4 linked regions of the Caenorhabditis elegans genome follow. The protein of the gene in region 1 interacts with the protein of each later gene in a pairwise test. Each region holds a gene or a part of one and is shown in the gene's direction. Other genes may lie near its edges. The genes, in order: smg-2, Y61A9LA.3, smg-3 and let-92.

The links.
Region 2: the proteins of smg-2 (region 1) and Y61A9LA.3 interact in a two-hybrid assay, tested with the Caenorhabditis elegans proteins (one study listed by BioGRID).
Region 3: the proteins of smg-2 (region 1) and smg-3 interact in a two-hybrid assay, tested with the Caenorhabditis elegans proteins (one study listed by BioGRID).
Region 4: the proteins of smg-2 (region 1) and let-92 interact in a two-hybrid assay, tested with the Caenorhabditis elegans proteins (one study listed by BioGRID).

Annotation. Positions count from the first base shown.
Region 1 is NC_003279.8:1,174,915-1,179,498, forward strand, and holds the start of smg-2 (Regulator of nonsense transcripts 1), read left to right. Parts: upstream 1-1,558; 5' UTR 1,559-1,560; coding exon 1,561-1,707; intron 1,708-2,963; coding exon 2,964-3,505; intron 3,506-4,088; coding exon 4,089-4,477; intron 4,478-4,584. Other genes in the region: haf-6 (Mitochondrial potassium channel ATP-binding subunit), read right to left, coding at 470-713, 775-839. UniProt on the Caenorhabditis elegans protein: RNA-dependent helicase required for nonsense-mediated decay (NMD) of aberrant mRNAs containing premature stop codons and modulates the expression level of normal mRNAs.
Region 2 is NC_003283.11:4,569,107-4,574,153, forward strand, and holds the start of Y61A9LA.3 (C2H2-type domain-containing protein), read left to right. Parts: upstream 1-2,028; 5' UTR 2,029-2,036; coding exon 2,037-2,095; intron 2,096-2,622; coding exon 2,623-2,851; intron 2,852-3,191; coding exon 3,192-3,282; intron 3,283-4,026; coding exon of another isoform or gene 4,027-4,818; intron 4,819-5,047. Other genes in the region: sut-2 (Zinc finger CCCH domain-containing protein 14), read right to left, coding at 329-433, 493-809, 871-921; hpo-39 (uncharacterized protein), read right to left, coding at 4,027-4,818.
Region 3 is NC_003282.8:6,370,084-6,374,771, reverse strand, and holds the start of smg-3 (MIF4G domain-containing protein), read left to right. Parts: upstream 1-1,682; 5' UTR 1,683-1,684; coding exon 1,685-1,945; intron 1,946-1,992; coding exon 1,993-2,171; intron 2,172-2,226; coding exon 2,227-2,438; intron 2,439-2,487; coding exon 2,488-2,717; intron 2,718-2,769; coding exon 2,770-2,862; intron 2,863-2,906; coding exon 2,907-3,779; intron 3,780-3,830; coding exon 3,831-4,177; intron 4,178-4,610; coding exon 4,611-4,688. Other genes in the region: hrpf-2 (RRM domain-containing protein), read left to right, coding at 1-222, 271-464, 515-1,175.
Region 4 is NC_003282.8:11,856,499-11,860,979, forward strand, and holds let-92 (Serine/threonine-protein phosphatase 2A catalytic subunit), read left to right. Parts: upstream 1-1,943; 5' UTR 1,944-1,947; coding exon 1,948-2,076; intron 2,077-2,122; coding exon 2,123-2,332; intron 2,333-2,386; coding exon 2,387-2,449; intron 2,450-2,494; coding exon 2,495-2,683; intron 2,684-2,787; coding exon 2,788-2,961; intron 2,962-3,014; coding exon 3,015-3,206; 3' UTR 3,207-3,962; downstream 3,963-4,481. Other genes in the region: mob-1 (Mob1/phocein), read left to right, coding at 4,060-4,183.

The DNA of each region.
Region 1 (4,584 bases):
TCATATTCCGATCAAAAACCCCTAAAAATGAAGAAAATCAATGAAATAATGATAAAAAAAATAATGCAAGCGCGCTCCACCGAACAAGTTCAATTGGCGGAAATTCAAATAGGAATTAGGGGAAAACTGAGATTTTTTCAATTTTTTCTAATGAAATTGGGTAAAAACCGCCGAAAAATCATAAAAATCGAAAGAAAATCACCAAAAATGCCCAAAAAACATGATTTTTTACAAATTTTAAGCAAAAATGTTGCCATTTTCCAATTTAACTATGAAATTTCATTGATTTCATACGAATTAATGCGGAAATTAAAGTTTTTTTGCTGGAAAATTGACAGGAAACCTGAAATAAAATTAAAAAGCAAGATTTTAGGTGAAAATTGCACAATTTTTTGTAAGTTAACTATAAAAATACGTATTTTTCTCGATTTTTCCCAGTTTTCAACCGGATTTTTATCGAAAAATTCACCACAACTGCAGCGAAAAACCAGCCGAAAAAGGGTTTAATCAAATTCCACAGCTCTCCGGCCGTCATTGACGCATTCTGATCCTCCGTCGTCCTCAAATGGTCGATGCGTTTGCTCAATTTCGGAGCACATGCCGCTTTTCGTAGGGTTACAGCTCCTAAACCGGCTCCAAACCCACAAATTCGCCATGTTTTGAGTATTGTTGTCCTTGAAATCGGTTTGTGAAGCCATGGATAGCTGGAAAAGCTGCAAAAAACGGGAAAATATATGGAAAAATGGAAAATCAGCAGATTTTTGCAGATCTTACCAGTGTTTGCTGCTTTGCACGGCGCTTTTGATGGATATTTGGGATAGTTTAGATAGAATTGACATTAAAAACCAGGAAAAATCAATACAAATCAATAAAAATCAGTTCTTATCAGCGATTTTTTCCGATTTTCCAAGAAAAATAATAATCGAGAAAACATAAACTCCGTGCGGCACACTTGCAAAAACCGTGCGCCCACCTTGCAATGAGGTGTTTTTATCATATTTTTTCATTTTTCGACCGTTTTTCGCAATTTTTTCTAACAAAACCTCATTTTTTGTATGAAAATGTTGAAAAAATATGCATTTTCATGGTTAAATTGTTAAAAATCACACAATTTTCGCTTAAAATCATCTAAAATGATGAAATATTGCTCATTTTAAAAGTTGGGGGGATTTTTCAGTTTGTTTTTCAAATTTGAGCTCAAATTTTAGGCATTTTTACCTTTTTCCGATAAAAAGTGAGCGGAAATTGAAAATTTTCAATTTTAATTGTTGAAATTTCCAAAAATGCACCCGCTTTGTGATTAAATTAACACAGTTCTCATTTTCGAAGGTTTTCCGCCAATTTTCGGCAAAAATGTTGAATTTTTACATGAAAAATCTGCAAAAATAAGTGTAAAAGTGGTAAAAAATTACGAAATATTGCTCATTGTTAGATTTTGCAATTTGAAAAATGCTTTTTTGTACTTTTTTCACCTATTTTACTCGAATACCGACAAATTTCTCATGAATGCTATCGATTTCTCATTCCAAAACCCCTCAAAAACGCACTTTTCTTCCAGTAATGGACGATTCGGACGACGAATATTCGAGAAGCCACGGGGAAACCCTCACATTTGTGGATCCCGAGGACGATGGAGTCTCTATTGGGAACACGCAGGACTCTCAGTTCGCCTATGAGCAGTTTAGTGTGCCTACGCAGAGTTCTCAGGTAGAAAATTGCCGCATTTGTGTCAAAAAATCGAAGGAAAATTCTGGATTTTGCTGAAAAATCAAGTTTTTCACATGATTTTTCAGAGAAATTTGTATTCAAAATCCTTTGAATTGATAGACTTTACACACTGAAAAAAACGATGAAAATCATGAAAAAAAAACCACTCGAAAATGGACAAAACCGATGGAATTTGTGATTTTTATTTTCAATTTTTGTTCGAAAATGAGTATAATCCCGTCAATTTGCAATTTTCAGATGCTTTTTTGCCCACTTTGCCCAATCAATTTTTCGTGCAAATTTCAAGAAAAATCGATCCAAAAGCTCGAAAAAATTAGATTTTTGTGCAAAAATTGCAAAATTTTTTGAATTTGGCCATTTTCGATTAGTTTTTCTTGTAATTTTCAAGAAAACAAACCGTCCAATTTTTTTTGGAGATGTTTTGTGATATAAATTATCTTTTCCAACAATATCAACGATTTTCTAGAAGCTCAACGTTAAAAAAGGTTAGAAAATTAGATTATACTATTACGGGAACACAAAATTCTGAGAATGCGTATTGCACAACATATTTGACGCGCAAAATATCTCGTAGCGAAAACTACAGTAATTCTTTAAATGACTACTGTAGGTCGATTTACGGGCTCGATTTTCATTTTTCCTTCGCCAAAATCGAGATTCCGTAAATCGACACTACAGTAGTCATTTAAAGAATTACTGTAGTTTTCGCTACGAGATATTTTGCGCGTCAAATATGTTGTGTAATACGCATTCTTAGAATTTTGTGTTCCCGTAATAGTATAATCTAATTTTCTAACCTTTCTTAACGTTGAGCTTGCTCTGGAAAAGATAATTTATATCACCAAAAACTTGTTTTAAAAAGAATTTTTCTCATTCCTTACTGTCAGGAATCTTGGAAATTGTGATTTTTTTTTCCAATATTTTTGTTTATCGCAATTTTCAGATGATTTTTGAGCACTTTGCCCACAATTTTTCGTGCTAATTTCAAGAAAATCGACCCAAAAGCGTACAAAAAATTCCAAGAAAATTCCAAAGCAATTTTAAAAATTCGACTCTCAAAAAAAAACACCTATTCCAGGCGACAGATCTTAATTTTAAATAAATTTTTATTCAAAATCCTCTGAAAGTGGAAATTTCAGTGGAAAAAAACCAAGAAAATCATAGAAAAGTCCCTTAAAATCAATTTTTTTTGTCAATTTTTCAAAATTCTCAACAAAAAAAAACCCATATTCCAGGCGACAGATCTGCTGCCAGGAGGAACCGATGGAACCACCAACGATTTGCCATTTCACGACGTGGAAGACGACGAGTCGGACAGTGAAAAATCACTGACAGAAGAGCAGCAGCAGCAGAAGCTGCCGGAGCACGCGTGTCGCTATTGTGGAATCTCTGATCCTCTGTGTGTCGCCAAATGCACAGTCTGCAGGAAATGGTTCTGTAATTCCAATGATGGAACGTCGGGCGGGCATATTGTTCATCATATGGTTCGGAGTCAGCATAAGGAAGCCTACACGCATAAGGATTCACCGTGTGGTGACACTCAATTGGAATGCTATCGTTGTGGTTCGAAAAACGTGTTTAATCTCGGCTTCATCCCCGGAAAAAAGGATCAAGTCGTCGTGATAATCTGTAGAACACCGTGCGCCAGTATTGCATTCCAGAATGATGATAATTGGTCGCCCGAGGACTGGAAATCTGTAATCGCTGAAAAACAGCTGCTATCGTGGATTGTTAATGTGCCCAGCGAGGAGCAGGTGGCCAGAGCTAGGAAAATCACGTTAGTGGAGGAAAATCGATTTTTGAGAAAAATTTTAAAATAATAATTAAAGGAATTTCCAACCAAAAATGCAATTTCCGAGCGATCGAATTTTAACAATTTTTAACTAAATCTCGCCGTCCATCGACTTTAAAATACCTAAATCGAGTTGAAAACGCAAGATAATTAAATTGTATACTCAAAATTTGACGGTGGTTACAAAAAAAAAATAGTTTCCAGCCGCTTTACAAGTCGGTCAAATTTCAAATTTTAACTAATTTTAGGCCATTTTTTGAACCGTCATAACTTGTTTTTTGAGAAGTTTCACTATGAAATTCGGTGTTTTCTGAGTTGAATAAAGCAATTTTAAAAAATTCGACTACACCACCTTTAATATTTCTATAGCTTCGATTTTTTTGTTGATAAAAAATCTATTCCCAGTTTCCAAAAGAAATTGAAAATTGAATTTTTTTTCGAATTTTCGTGCAAAAAATTCTCAATTTCTACCGGCATTGGTGCAAAAAGCCGGAAAAACACAAGTGGTATAGTACTTTTAAATAGCTATATATATATATATATATATATGAAAAACTAAATTTTCCAGTGCTACCCAAGCAGTCCGAATGGAAGAGCTCTGGCGTGATCACCCAGAAGCAACCGTTGACGATTTAAATAAACCGGGACTCGATCGAGAACCGGATCATGTTCAATTAAGATATGTGGATGCTCATCACTATTCGAAAGTGTTCCGTCCATTAGTTGCAATTGAAGCAGAATATGATCGAAGAGTTAAAGAATCAGCATCACAAGCAGTCGGAACTGTTAGATGGGAACAAGGACTTCGTCAATCGGTTCTCGCGTTCTTTCATCTTCCACAATTTGCTGATGGTGTCATGAAGCTTGCGAAAGGCGATGAACTTCGATTGAAACATTCTCAGACGGTTGATGGATCGGAATGGACCAAGATTGGAAGTGTTTTCAAGATTCCTGATAGTAAGGGATGGGAAAAATAAAAATAAAAATTTTGAGTAGTTTTTCTTGGAATTTTCAAGAAATAACTGTCCAAAATTTTTTTTTTGGAGATTTTTCCTGATATAAAT
Region 2 (5,047 bases), on another chromosome or scaffold:
AGTTTCATTATGAAATTCGGTGTTTTGAGACAATTTCAAGTCTAATAAAACAATAAAAATTTTGAATACACCACCTTTAATTCTTGAATTTTGCACAAAAAAAGCAGCGTCGCACAGAAATAGAGGCGGAGCGCGCTCTAATGATTAATCAGCTTTGAGGAGAGCGTGATTGAGCTCATTTTGAGTCCGAACCGTTAGTCCTCCTTTAAAGAGAGAGAGAGTACTGTAGTTTTCGCTACGAGATATTTTGCGCGTCAAATATGCTGCGCAATACGCATTCTCAGAATTTTGTGATCCCGAAATATTCTGTGTTCTATCAGAAAACTACCTCTGAATCTCTTTTCTCTTCTCCTCACGACGCTTCTCCTCTTCGGCCCGCTTTTCACGATCACGTTCTCGTTGACGCTCCTTCTCACGTTCTTTTTCTTTTTGCCTGGAATTTTTGAAATTTTCAATTTTTAATTATTTCTTATTCCTTCGCTCGGCACTTACAGTTCTTTCTCATGCTCTTCCTTCTCTTTTCTTCGTTTCTCTTCATGCTCCTTTGCTGCTGCTGTTGCTTCCAGCTCTTTTCTCTTATCCTCCTCCTTTTTACTAGTCTCTCCTTGCTTGTTCGAAGCGTTTTGTAGGCGATCGAACAGATCAAAAAGCCAGTCGACGAATTTCGCAGTGCTTTTTCCGATAAATAAGTTGAGATCGTCCTTCATCTGCACTTTTTCCTTCTTATTCGCAATCATTACCATAATATAATCGGGTAATTCATCGTCCACGTAGACGCCGAGCTCTTCAAGTTTGGCTCGAATCGCGGCCTGAATTAAAAAATTATTAATTTTTGCGATTTTTGAAATTTATTAACTTATTTAACGTTACCTTTAGTTTTTTCGACACTTCTGAGGTTCCTGTCCCTGTTTGAGTATTCATTTCGAACAGATTATATCTGAAAACCAAAAAAAAATCAATAAGCTAAATATCACAATTTTTGTTCCAATTTTTAAGATAATAATGTCATAGTAAGCTTTAAAAACTGATTTCAAAGTTATATTGGCTCAAGAAACTTCCGGAAGTTCACTAAAAATCACTAAAACCACAAATAATCTGGTTTTTCGAAAATATTCAAATAACGGGATAAAAACCGACACTTTGAATAAATCAGCGGCAATTTTTGTGTGAAAATTGACAGAAAATCAATAATTTAAAATAATTCAATAAATTAATTAGAAAAATTCAGGGAAAACGAATCGGAATTATACGAAAATCACGTGTATCCCTTTCTCTCTCACAATGCCAGCAGCGACAATTATTTGTCGTAAGATTCGGTGTAAAGTATGCACACACTGTGACGACAAAATGCAGATTTTTGCATAAAAGGTTTTTGTGTTTTTTAATCGATTTGCAGAGGATTTCTCAGGTTTTCTGTGTTAAAATTGAAGATTTTAAGGGTTTTTTGTCGAAAAATGCCTATTTTGTTCAATTAATCATTATAAATAACTAGAAATTAAGAAAATCGCTGGAATTTATGATTTTTCTTTATTTTTACGGACGCTTCATTTTTTTTTAAGTTTTAATCGATTTTCAGAGGATTTCAGGGTTTTTTGCCGGAAAAATGTGTATTTGGTTTATTTAATCACCAAAAATAACTGAAAATAGATTGAAATTTATGATTTCTTGTTTTTATCGATTTTCAGAGAGTTTCTTAGGTTTTCGAGCTTAAAATTTCAGATTTTCGGATTTTTTTTGCCGAAAAAATGCATATTTTGTTCATTTAATCACCAAAAACAACTAGAAATTGAGAGAATTTAATGAAATTTAATATTTAGATTTTTTTTCATTTTCAATCGATTTTTGAAGCACTTTCACAGTTTTACCAGCAATTTCCATCCTTGAAATAATTTTTTTCCAAATATTTCTAGACTGATTTCGTGGAAAACTATCGATTTTCTGTGGCTGCGTGCATTTCTGTCTGCGTCTCCCCTCGTTTTTCCTCCTCAAATCCGTTCTTGTCCACGAATTTCCGGTTTTTTTTTCCAGCTAGAGACATGCGACATTCGTCGTACGAACATGTTCCAAATCGGATAATTCCTCCGCATATTCCAATGTGAGCCGTTTTTTTTTCAAATTTTTTCCAACTTCTCGGTGTCGCAGCGGTTAGAACTTAATTATTATTTTTTTTATCACTTTTAAATAAATATTGTGGTCTTTGATTGGGCGTTTATTCATTGATTAGTACATTTATGGTCAGTGGGGCACAAATAAAAGTTAAATTTTGTGCCCCACTGACCATAAATGTACTTAAATCAACGAATAAACGCCTAATCAAAGACCACAATATTTATTAAAAAGTGATAAAAAAATAATAATTAAGTTCTAACCGCTGCAACACCGAGAAGTTGGAAAAAATTTGAGATTTTAGCTAAAAATTGGCCATTTTTTCCAAAATTTTCGAGCGGTCATAACTTTTTTTTTGAAATATTTTCAGAACGTCTCATTACGAAATTCGGTAGTTTTGGACCATTTTGGGTCTAAAAAGCAAAGTCTCAAATTTCGGTACCTCACCTCTGAGGATGAAAAAATCCGGATTTTCCGGGAAAAAAAAATAAAACTCATTTTTTTATATTTTTTCAGTGATGCTAGACGTGGCGATTTCGATAGACGTCCTGGCCCGCCGGTTCCTTCTATGAGAGCTGCAATTCTTGGAGGAAGTGATCCGTATCACGGATTTCAGCCGGTGGTGGACACCTATAATGGACCCGTAGTGGATAATTCGAGAAGACGTGGTTTCGATAAGGGGCCGTTTGGAGAGGATTTGACGACGATGGGAAGAAATGAAGGGAGACAGCCGTTGCTCAGACATGTAAGGAGCGCGATTTTGAGTCGAAAAGTTCAAAAAATCCAACTTAAAAACTCAATTTTCGCTGAAATTCCCTCCAAAACTCCCCGACCAATCAGCGATTCGCTCCGCCCATCTTTGAACCAATCAGATGGAGTGGGCGGAGTTCGAAGTCGGGGAATCCTCATTTTGAGAATTGACTTCAAAACGAGAATTCCCCGACCAATCAACGACTTCGAACTCCGCCCACTCAATCTGATTGGTTGAAGGATGGGCGGAGCGAATCGCTGATTGGTTGCGATGTGGTTTTTCTGGTTTTTAGACTTTTTTTTCGGATTTTGATGAAAATTCACGAATTAAATAGTTTCAGCCGAGACTAGACTTTGAGCACATTGGCGGAGAAATGGAAATCGCGAGAAGTCGGTCTGCATCTCCAGAAATTCAAGTTATCAGTGGTACGTTTTTAGACTGGACCCAAAATGGCCCGAAACTGCCGAAAATTTCTCAAAAAAGTGATGGCGATTCAAAAATTCGGAAAAGTAATAATAATTGTTTATTTGCCACAAGAAATAGCTACACCGGAAGACAAAGAAAAAAAGTAAAATAAAAAAGATGTGTGGACAGATAAATAAAATGACCAATTGGACCAGCTATAGCCCGGGAGGTCAAGTTGGGGGGAAGAGGGTGTCAAATGGGATAGAGCCTAGGCGCGACGCAAATGCATTTGGAGTTAACAGTTTAGGGAAACGTTTTGCTATTCGGTTCCACAACGACAAGTTAACATGTAGAAAACATTTAGACGGGACGCCACAGACAACAAGTAGATAGGGGTGACGAGTAGAGCGTGAAGCTCGAACGAACGATGATAAGGACGGGAAGTGATACTCGCTTGAAATAATTTTATGGAAGGTTCGGAGGATTTGAAGAACCCGTCTATGGTGGGTAGACAATAAATTAAATTGGGAAAGCCTGCTACTGTATGACGCGTACGATAAATTACACCTTTGAAAGACACACTTTGAGAAGCAATGGACGGACAAGACGATAATAAAGCCCGGTGGCCGTTTACCTATGCGTTAGCAACGGGAGCAGCCGAATCAACAGAGATAGGAAGTGGACGCGGTGACGAGAGAGTCACAATCTTAAGGTCGCGCACATAATAACGAATCTCGCCAGCTTGGGTATTTCTGTTATAAGCGTCAGCTCTCAACTCTCTCAGGATAGATAACATCGTTGGTCATATCGCGTCTGCAGCGGATGGGTCTTGGAAGGTTAGTGGGGCGATCAGGCAACGAACGGAGAGTTTTGGAGAAAGAGAAAATGAACGAATTGCGGTCGGCTTCAGAAGAGAAACGAATTTTTGTTGGGCGGGATAAGACTGGTTTGCGAGTTTTGACGCGGAAAGTTTGAATATGTACAGGGAGGGAGGGATTAGCGGCAATTAAATTATCGAGAAAAACCTTATCCTTGGCGGATTGTGAATCCGAGCCATCATCCGGTAGATTTTCAATCACGGCGAAATGAGTCTTCTTCTCAAACAGGGAAATGCTGGCTGCTGCTTCACGTCTTTCTGCAATGATCTCTGCTTTCTTCTCGGCTGATTGTCCCTTGAGAACATCGGCGAACAGGCGTGGAGCGGGCAAATTGGAGGTAACACGGGCAGAGCATTCGTTCGTGAGCTTGGCAACAACTACCTTGAGCTGCTCGACGGTTTGGAAGAGTTCCGATTGTTTGCTCTCCAGGGCACGACATCTGCTTTCAGCGGCGGTACGGAAGGTTCTCAAGCTCGAATTTTCCTTTTCCAATTCTTCAACACGGGTAGTGAGCAATTCAAGAGCGGTCGGGCGACCGCGCTTCCGGGTTTGCTGTTGTTTCTCCGGCGGAGAACTCGTACCGTGAGCGTCCTCCGGGAGATAAGGACCAGAGAAAGCGAAGAAATCCGTCTTCACCATAGGCACTGGGGCGGAATGAGGAGGAGGTGGTTCCGACATGACCAATGACCTGCAGCAGTTGACCGGCGTACCTCAAACTCAAACTTGGGTAATTAAACCAAATATTTTTTGCAGATGCTAAAACAATTTCCAAGTCAAAAAATTATGTATTCAGTCGGCAAGCAGCGGTGAAAGTGGTCAATGTAAAATGATGGATTACGGGAATACAAAACCTAAACTTTTTCTGAAACATTATACATATGCTGTTTAGATGCTGAAACTACCTGAT
Region 3 (4,688 bases), on another chromosome or scaffold:
TCTTACGAAAGAACTGGAATTCGCCCACTGATGTCCGTGGATTCAGGATATGACCACGGAAGACGAGGTGGTGGTGGAAGATACGGCGACAGCAGCTATGATCGTGGTTATGATGACTACAATCGTGGAAGTTATGGCGGACGTCGGGATTATGGATACAATGGTGGACACGATCAAGGAGGTCGCAGTGATTATGGAAGAGGAGGCGATGATCCGCTGAGGGTATGAGTATTTTTCTGCGATTGTAAAATAAATTATTTTATTTTTCAGGTGTATATGCGTGGTCTTCCTTATGATGCTGATGATCATGCTATCGCTGCTTTTTTTTCTCCACTTCGATGCCATTCAGTCAAAATAGGAATCAACGAAACTGGTCGTCCATCTGGAGATGCTATTGCGGAATTTGACAATTACAACGATCTTCAAGTCGCTCTCTCGCGTAACAATCAAAGAATGGGAAGACGGTAATTTGAAATTTATAATCAGAACATGGAATAATTATTGTTATTTGTAGATATGTCGAACTGTTTGATAATCGTGGAGCGCCTGGTCCAATGCGTCGTCTTCTTTGGAAAGAAACAAGTGGCACGAATGCATCAGCTGCTCCAGCGCCTGATCCGATTCTTAACGGAGGAAGACGTGGCGGAGGGCCACCACAACGAGACTCTGGCTACAGGGCAGGTCCTCAAGCTATGCCACCATCATACAGAGAATCAAGGGATCCATATGGCCCACGGGAACCACGAGGATACGATATAGAACCCAAATATGAACCACGAGGCATCCCACCACGCAGTGCTCCAATTCGTGCACCACCAGCTGCGCATGGCCGGGCTCCTGATACGTGGGGAAGTTATGGAGCAGCATCTACTGGTCCGAGTTATGATCAGAGCAGTGCTGCCGGAGGTTATGCTGCAAGCTGGGATGCTTATTATGCTTCACAAGCACAGTCTGCGTATTCTGCAGAACCTGCATCCACATATCCCACAGCTGCTCATTCTGCATATGGATCAGGCGAATCATATTCGTATGGAGCATCTGCTGGAGGAGCTTACGATCGTCAAAGAGAACCTAGAGACTCACAGCCAACATGGGCTCAGCAACAACAACCGTCTCATCACAGTGCTTATGGAGGATGGGGAGCTGGAGCTGGAGATCATCGAAGTGGATATTAATTATCTTCTTTTTTTTCTTTTCACTTCTGACTTCCTTTTTTCTGTTCCTGCCAAAATCCCAGTTCTTTCGATTTTCCAGACAAATGAGCATTGTTCCTTATAATCTAGTGTATCACTTTACTTTTTTCTCTGTTCTCCGAGGTCTCGGTTATTTATTATCTTGTTCTCATGATTTTCCAACGCGAACGTCTTATTTTACCTCTGTTCTGTTCAACTATCAAAATATCATGCTTTGATCTTCCTACACAATTTTTATTAATTAATAGATTTCTGAATTTGAGACTTTCATTGTTTTTTTTTTCTGTATCCTTTTTGATATTTAATGGCTGTTCGCCCCGCGTTTTAATATGTTACAATTTGGAAATTCTTATTTCTTTTTAATTAGGAAATGAGACATGGATAATTATTTCACTTCTTGGTTGTTTCATAGAATGTTGGAATGTTCAATTATATACTTGAGTGTACACTTTATTTTGTAAAATGACGATTCTCTATCACAGTCTATGCAGATGCGGCGAAAAGTCGAGACATCATGGCTGGAAGAGCTGAAAAAGCGTGTAAAATATCAAGAAACAAGTCGTCTTCAAATGGTCGAGATTCGAGAAACTTTGCTCGATAACGAAAAAGAATTGCGAAGTTTAGATTCAACATTGAAAAAGACGACGAGTTTTATGAAAAAAGTGAAGCTTCTCAGTGCGGCCACTGTTCCACAATTAATTGAAGAATTATCGAAATTGAATTTAAGCAAATTTGTTGAGGAAATGGCGTCGGTGGGTTCTTGATTTCGAATTCCATTGAAAATCGGATAATTTTTCAGGGAATTATAGAGACAAAATTGAAGTTATCCGATATTCCGAAAGTAACAGAGCTCTGCCTTGCAATTTCTGCGAAATATTCAAACTTCAGTGAACAGATGGCTGGGGAATTCAAAAAAGTTCTTCCTGTTAAAAAGAGTGACAAAATTGCAAATGTTGCAAAATTGAGAGTGGATATTATGTTAGATTGCATTAATAAGACAGTTTTCATCTGAGAATAAATAAAATATTTCCAGCTTCCTCGCTGAACTTTGCCTGTGTGGAGTTTTCAATGAAAAGGAAGGACTTCAAGTTCTCGGTGCTGTATTAAGTTATTTGATTCAAACAGATAAGACTGATTTTGTCAATGTTGGATTATTGGCTACAGTATCTAGAACTGTTGGATGGCAAATTGCAAATATTGTGCCAATTCCAATGGATGATGCTGAAACGGTCGAGATTCAAGACGGTTGTTATCTTTTTAATCAGGAGCGTATATTCATTATCAATGTTTTCAGAAGAACTCCCTGAGTCATCAGCTCTCTCAGTTGAACAGAAAAAGTCGATTCGTGAGCTCTTCAAATCATACTACGATTCACTTTATTCGAAAACCGAGAAAACGTGTTCGGCAAGAAATAAGGCGATGAAGAGAGTTAAACGACAGGAAAGAAGCCGTGGAGACGCTGGTGATGAGGAAAAGACAACTTTGAATGATCTTCAGTCTGAATTGGATTCTCTGCGGAAAATGGTACAAAAATTAATTACCCAATAGGAAAATTTGAGAAAACCCCTCATTTTAGGCTATAGAGATATCGTCTGCAATCGGTGTGGAAATGAAACCGCTAAAAGAGGAAGCTAGTGACGATGAAGAGGATGAAGCTGCCAACTTGGAGGTTTTTTGATTCGACCAAAAACTTGAACTTATTCTATATTTCAGATGGGACGCAAACTTGCAGAAGGAGCAATCAAGCTGTGGAGTGATGAAGAGACGAAGGCATTCTACGAGGATCTTATCGATCTTCGACAGATGGTTCCCAAGGATCTTTATAAAGAATCTGAACAGAGAACTCTCAGCAAAGCGAAGATGGCTGAAAGGATTGAAGATGTCGATATGGAAAATATCAATGAATCCGGAGCAATGGATGCGAAGAGATCATCATTACAACGTGGAGAGTCTGAAAAGGAGACGACACCAGAAGATTCTCAACTTCAAGCTCTTCTCAAAGAAGCTGTGGATGCATCCGAAGAACGAGGAGTCAGCAAATGGCAAAGTTTTGTACTTGATTTGGATCATCTTGTCAGCAAGTACTCAACTGACCAAGCAGCTATTTATTTTGTTTCGAATCTGAATAATAAGGGTTGTCGCAAGAGGCTTGTGAAGCTTATGATCGATCCACCTCCGTCTCGGATCGATGTTGTTCCATTTTATGCCCGACTTGTCGCTACTCTCGAGAATGTGATGCCTGATTTGACAACTGAAATCGTAACTCAACTACTCGAGAAATTCCGCGGATTTTTGCAACAGAAACCATCGTCAGCTACTGCTATAATCAAAGTGGAATCAAAGATGGTTTGCGTGATGATGATAGCTGAACTGATGAAGTTTGGAGTAATTTCTCGTGCTGAAGGACTCAGTTGTTTGAGACAACTTGTGTATGATTTACGTGGACATTCTGTAGAAATGACAGCGACATTCATGGAATCTAGTGGTCTTTATCTGTATAGACATACTGAATCACATGCAAAAATGAAGAGATTATTGGAAGTTGTGAAGGCGAAACGAGAACGAATGAAAGATCAAAGACAAGCGGTATGTTTAGATGAACTACATCATAATATTAATTCAATTTCGATATTTCAGATGCTCATAGACAATGCGTATTTCACCTGCCTTCCACCAGAAGATTCAAAAGAAGAACGTCTTCGTTTGAAGCTAGACGAAGAGGATACTCCAATGAAACGATTTATTCGTCACATAATTCTGGATATCAATGAATCAACCGTTGATGTTTTCTTAAAATGTCTTCGGAGGCTTGAATGGTATGATCCAGAAGTTGCTGATTATGCAATTCGTTATCTCTCCTCCACGTGGCTTCTTCCCATTGAAAATCTTCAACACGTGGCATCTGCGATTGCTGGTCTCTGTAATTTGGTACATCTTCAATGGATTGGAATGGCTGTAATTGATTCAACAATTGAAACTATTCGGTATGAACGATTTTCGATAGAGATGTGCGGCACATTTACACAGAAATATATATATAACTTTTTTTGTACTTTCTGAAAAAAATTGCTCTCAATGAAAAGTTTCGAGGCATTGCCCATTGATTCAAATCAGGGGTGTGCGGCAAATTTGCCGAATTTGCCGAACTTGCCGAGCTCGACAAATTTTGAGATTTGCCGCACACCCCTGATTCAAATATTAATACTGCATCGTACGGTTGTGTTAGTTTTTGAGCAACTTCCCAAAACTTTCAATTGAAAGTAACATTATTCTTAGAAACTATACATGTTTATCTTTATTTCTATTAAAATTTCCGAAAAAAATATTTCGGCACGACAATGAGAGAATATCGTTTTGTAAATGTGCCGCGCATCTCTCGTTTCCAGTTCAAGCAGCAAGCATAAGAGTTATTTCCAGAATATCCTTGGAAAATCCTGGAGTCTACAATCAATGGGCTCATTCTGCCGCCGTTTATCTTGCAGAGCTCTACAGTTT
Region 4 (4,481 bases), on another chromosome or scaffold:
CCTTTTCGCGGTTTTTTTACGCTTTTCAAAATTAAACGTGCATTTTTTTTCTTATTTTACCATCATTTCTAATTAAATTTTAATGCTGATATGAAAGCTTTCAAAAAAGAAATTTCCAAAAATCGACTTATAGCTCAAAAATGTACAAAAAGTTTCGTCAAAATGTAAGTGCCTTCTTGAATTCATCATCTAGCATGTTTTTGATGTCATTCTTTAACACCTGATGCTGAAAATCTCCGGTTTCAATCATATTGTTTACTAGATTCAGTTACTGGAGCCGTTAGTAACAAACTATTGTCATTCCGCTAGATCGTATTCCTACTTTTAATTTGAATTATAATTAGCTCACCAGTTTTTTTTTCTGTCTGAAGTTTTCGGTCTTTTTCAACAATGATTTTGTTACATAATAATTTAAAAAATCGGACATCATTAACCTTCGTTAGTTGCCAATCGATAGTTTCATCTTCTAAAACATACCGTTTTTTCTGAAATTTCGCATAAATGAGTCATCATGATTCTGCTGGGTTATGAAATGTATTTTTCTAGAAATATTCTACCTCGAACATTTTTTTCAGTACGCCCCTCTATCATAACTTGGCCGTCCCTAGCACGTCACCAGAGCTCTAAATCCTCGCCTTTTCACACCTCCTTTCTGCACACAACGCCTCTGCTGTCGTCGTTGTCGCCTTCAGCGATAACGCCAATAAACGAAAACATCGGTTCAGGAAGAGGACTTCTTCACTTCTCTCCGTCTTGTTAACAACAGACAGTGAGGGTGTTCAGTAGAGCGCAGTGAACCGCGACGCGAGCCCTTGCGATGCGGTCGCTCTTTCCTCTGCCTTATATCTTTTCTTTTTCATCTCTTTCTCCGTCACTTTCGCAATGCGATTGGTTCCTCGGCTGGTTATAGCACAGGAGTGCCGCTGCTCCTTCGCTATCTGTCGTCTGATCCTCCGTCACTGCCCAATTGGCGGGCCCCGCATCTCTCTGCAGCCCTGCTTTCTCCGCCTCGCTCTCCTCACAAAACAACAATTTTGTCGTACTCGATCATCCCGCGTTCTCTATCATTTTGATGTCTTCCACTAATGTTAAATTCATTTATTCCGTTCTCACGTGTTCCCATTACAATTGGCTTTTGCCCATTGAATATTGATTATGATTCACCGAAAATAAGGCAAAAAAAACACAGTTTTATGATTTTTTTTTTCATTTGAAGAGTTTCAGTTACATAATTAGGTTTTTTACCGTATCAACGTTTGCCTAACAATTAAAATATTTTAATTCTCGTTAGAACATAGATTGACCCCTATTGTGAAACATAATTAACAACATTTGTTCTTTGCCTTATCGGAACGGAATGAAATTCCGTATGGTTTGGTGGGAGGTAGAAACGCAAACAGCGAGTTATCGATTTCCTCTTTTTCCTATGAATATTTTTCAGCGCGTGATTGTTGTTCATCTTTCACTTCTTCGTCTAAAATTGAGAATGGACACTTTTTGACACTAGTAACTAATCCGGTCTGGCATTTAGTAACATTGAAAAATAATCCATAAAAACTACACATTTTATTTCTATGTTCTTGTTTTCTTTTCTTAACCTGTTCACGATTGATTTTCCGTCTTTTTTAAAACTTGTGCTTTACATCATTTCATTAACTGTCTCTCCTCCAATTGTGACGTTTTCTTTTTCGTTATAAGATGCTGTTGGAGCAAGGGGCACTTAATCCCTTTTGTCTTGCAATCCTATCAGTTTATACGGAAAGAAGAATCCGCTGAAAAGTATTGACTGTGAGGCAACAGCGTGAGTTTCTGCTCTTCACGCTTTCTCCGACTCGTGCTCCGTTGCTATAGCTGCCCACGTTGTCTTTCTTCTTTCTCTATGCGTTCTTATCATTCAAACTTTTTTATACTTCTAATTTCTTGACCAACAAATAAGTTTTCAGTAGTATGGCTGCTGCCCCACCATCTGCGGATCCGCTTGATAAAGCACTAATCGTCGATGTAGATCAGTGGATTGAGCAGTTATACGAATGTAAACCACTATCGGAGAATCAAGTCAAAACGTTATGCGAAAAGGTTTGTTGATACAGTTTTGTGATTGTCAAAAATTAATTTTTTTAAGGCGAAAGAGATCTTGGAAAAAGAGCCGAATGTGCAAGAAGTCCGGTGCCCTGTGACAGTGTGTGGTGACGTTCACGGTCAATTCCACGATCTGATGGAGCTGTTCAAAATGGGTGGAAAGAGTCCTGACACGAATTACCTTTTCATGGGAGACTACGTCGACCGGGGGTATTATTCCGTCGAAACAGTTAGTCTGCTTGTCTGTTTGAAGGTACAGTTATCACAATATAGTATGGAAATTATTATAACATCTTTAAAAATTCAGATTCGATACAAGGATCGAGTAACACTGCTCCGCGGAAATCACGAGTCGCGACAAATCACTCAGGTAATTAAAATCAATTTATTTCAAAAATTATTATTTTCTTGTTAGGTCTACGGGTTCTATGACGAGTGTTTGAGGAAATATGGAAACTCGAATGTGTGGAAGTACTTCACTGATCTCTTCGACTGTTTCCCACTTACCGCTCTTGTTGATGGTCAAATCTTCTGCCTTCACGGAGGTCTTTCACCGTCTATTGATACTCTTGATCACATCAGAGCTCTTGACCGCATTCAAGAGGTAAGTTATTGTGGAAATCTACCTTTAATAGTTACTAGCCTGAAATATTTCAATAATAGAAAAGTTCTAACATTTTCATCACCGAAAATCATATATTTTTAAAGGTTCCACACGAAGGACCAATGTGCGATCTTCTCTGGTCTGATCCAGATGACAGAGGTGGCTGGGGAATCTCTCCACGTGGAGCAGGATACACATTCGGTCAGGATATCTCGGAGACGTTCAACCATTCCAATGGACTTACTCTAATTTCTCGGGCCCATCAACTTGTCATGGAGGTGAGAAATTATTTCAAATCGATATAATTTTGCAATGATATAAATATGTTTAGGGATACAACTGGAGTCACGATCGTAACGTGGTAACAGTGTTCTCAGCACCAAACTACTGCTATCGTTGTGGAAATCAGGCAGCGATGGTGGAGCTGGACGACGATCTCAAATATTCGTTCTTGCAATTCGACCCTGCCCCTCGAAGAGGAGAACCACATGTTACTCGCAGAACGCCTGACTACTTCCTGTAGATAGATACCTCCGTTCAAATCGCCGTTTTCATTTTCTTTTTTTTCCGTATTATCCCCCTTACCCAATTAATTTCAATACTTTCTCTCACTTTTCCTCTTTTTCATCGTTTCAGTCATTATATAGAATATCGTTGTTTTTGTATCGTTGCCCAACACCATCCTATTTGACAATCCCATCTCTTCTGAAGTTGCTCGAAATGATTGTTGTGTTCTTCATCTATCTTTTTTGTTCCATTCTCTTGTCCTCTACCAAAATTTAGGCGATCAAACCGTGCTTCTCTTCTCAAATGATGCGATGATAGGGATGAAAATTTCATTGTTCATGTAAATTAATGTGGTGGGAAGAGTTTGGCGGAATCATTAGCCATTACTGAAAAAATATCTCCGACATCTCGTGTCAACCTTAGCACTCGGTTCTCTTCCTTCACTCAATGAAGCAATCAATATTCTTTTCAGTCATCCCCGTGTGAGAAAAGTTGCGATCTTCTCCGCGCACGCGCTGTACGGCGTTCGCTTCCAACATTTCTTTACTCTTTTTCTTTTCCTTCCATATTCTTACACTATTTTCCCCTCCATCCCATCCTTTTCACCACTTCCCGTCTTCCTTGTTTCTTATGATTATTATCACAAAATGCGAATGGACAACATCTCTCCCTTTTCCACTATTTTATTCCCCCATTTTGTTTAATTATAATATTATTTTTGCCCCATCAACATTTTGTTTATCATCAATGATCAATAAACTGTGTCCACATCAAAGTTTTGAATTTTCGATTGCAATGTAGAAAGCATAAAACAATACTTGTCTTGGTGAAAGAAAAAACTTTAAATCGAATTATTTTGGTTCCAGAAAATGAGTGAACCAAGTTCATCATGGTGCAATCCAATGGCAGTTTCAACGTTAGGAAGTGGAAATCTTCGTGACGCTCTGAAACTTCCACCAGGGGAAGATAAAAATGAATGGCTCGCCGTAAATAGTAAGTTTTTGCTAAAAAAAACTTTGACATTTTTTTGCACAGCTTGGTAATAATAATTTGTAATAAAACAAAAAATAATTTATAATAAAACAAAAACTGCTAATTGTGATTTTTTTCGAGTTGATCCAATTTTCTCAAAAAATACAAAAAATTGGATAAATTTCCTACAGTAATCTTAAAGGCGCGTACACGAAAACAAATAAACACTGACGCGCGGCGAGACTATTTCTCAATTTTGGTTCTCCCTTTAAAAAAGCGGAAACATACAGTTTCTATAAGTTTTCTTTTTTAATTTTAT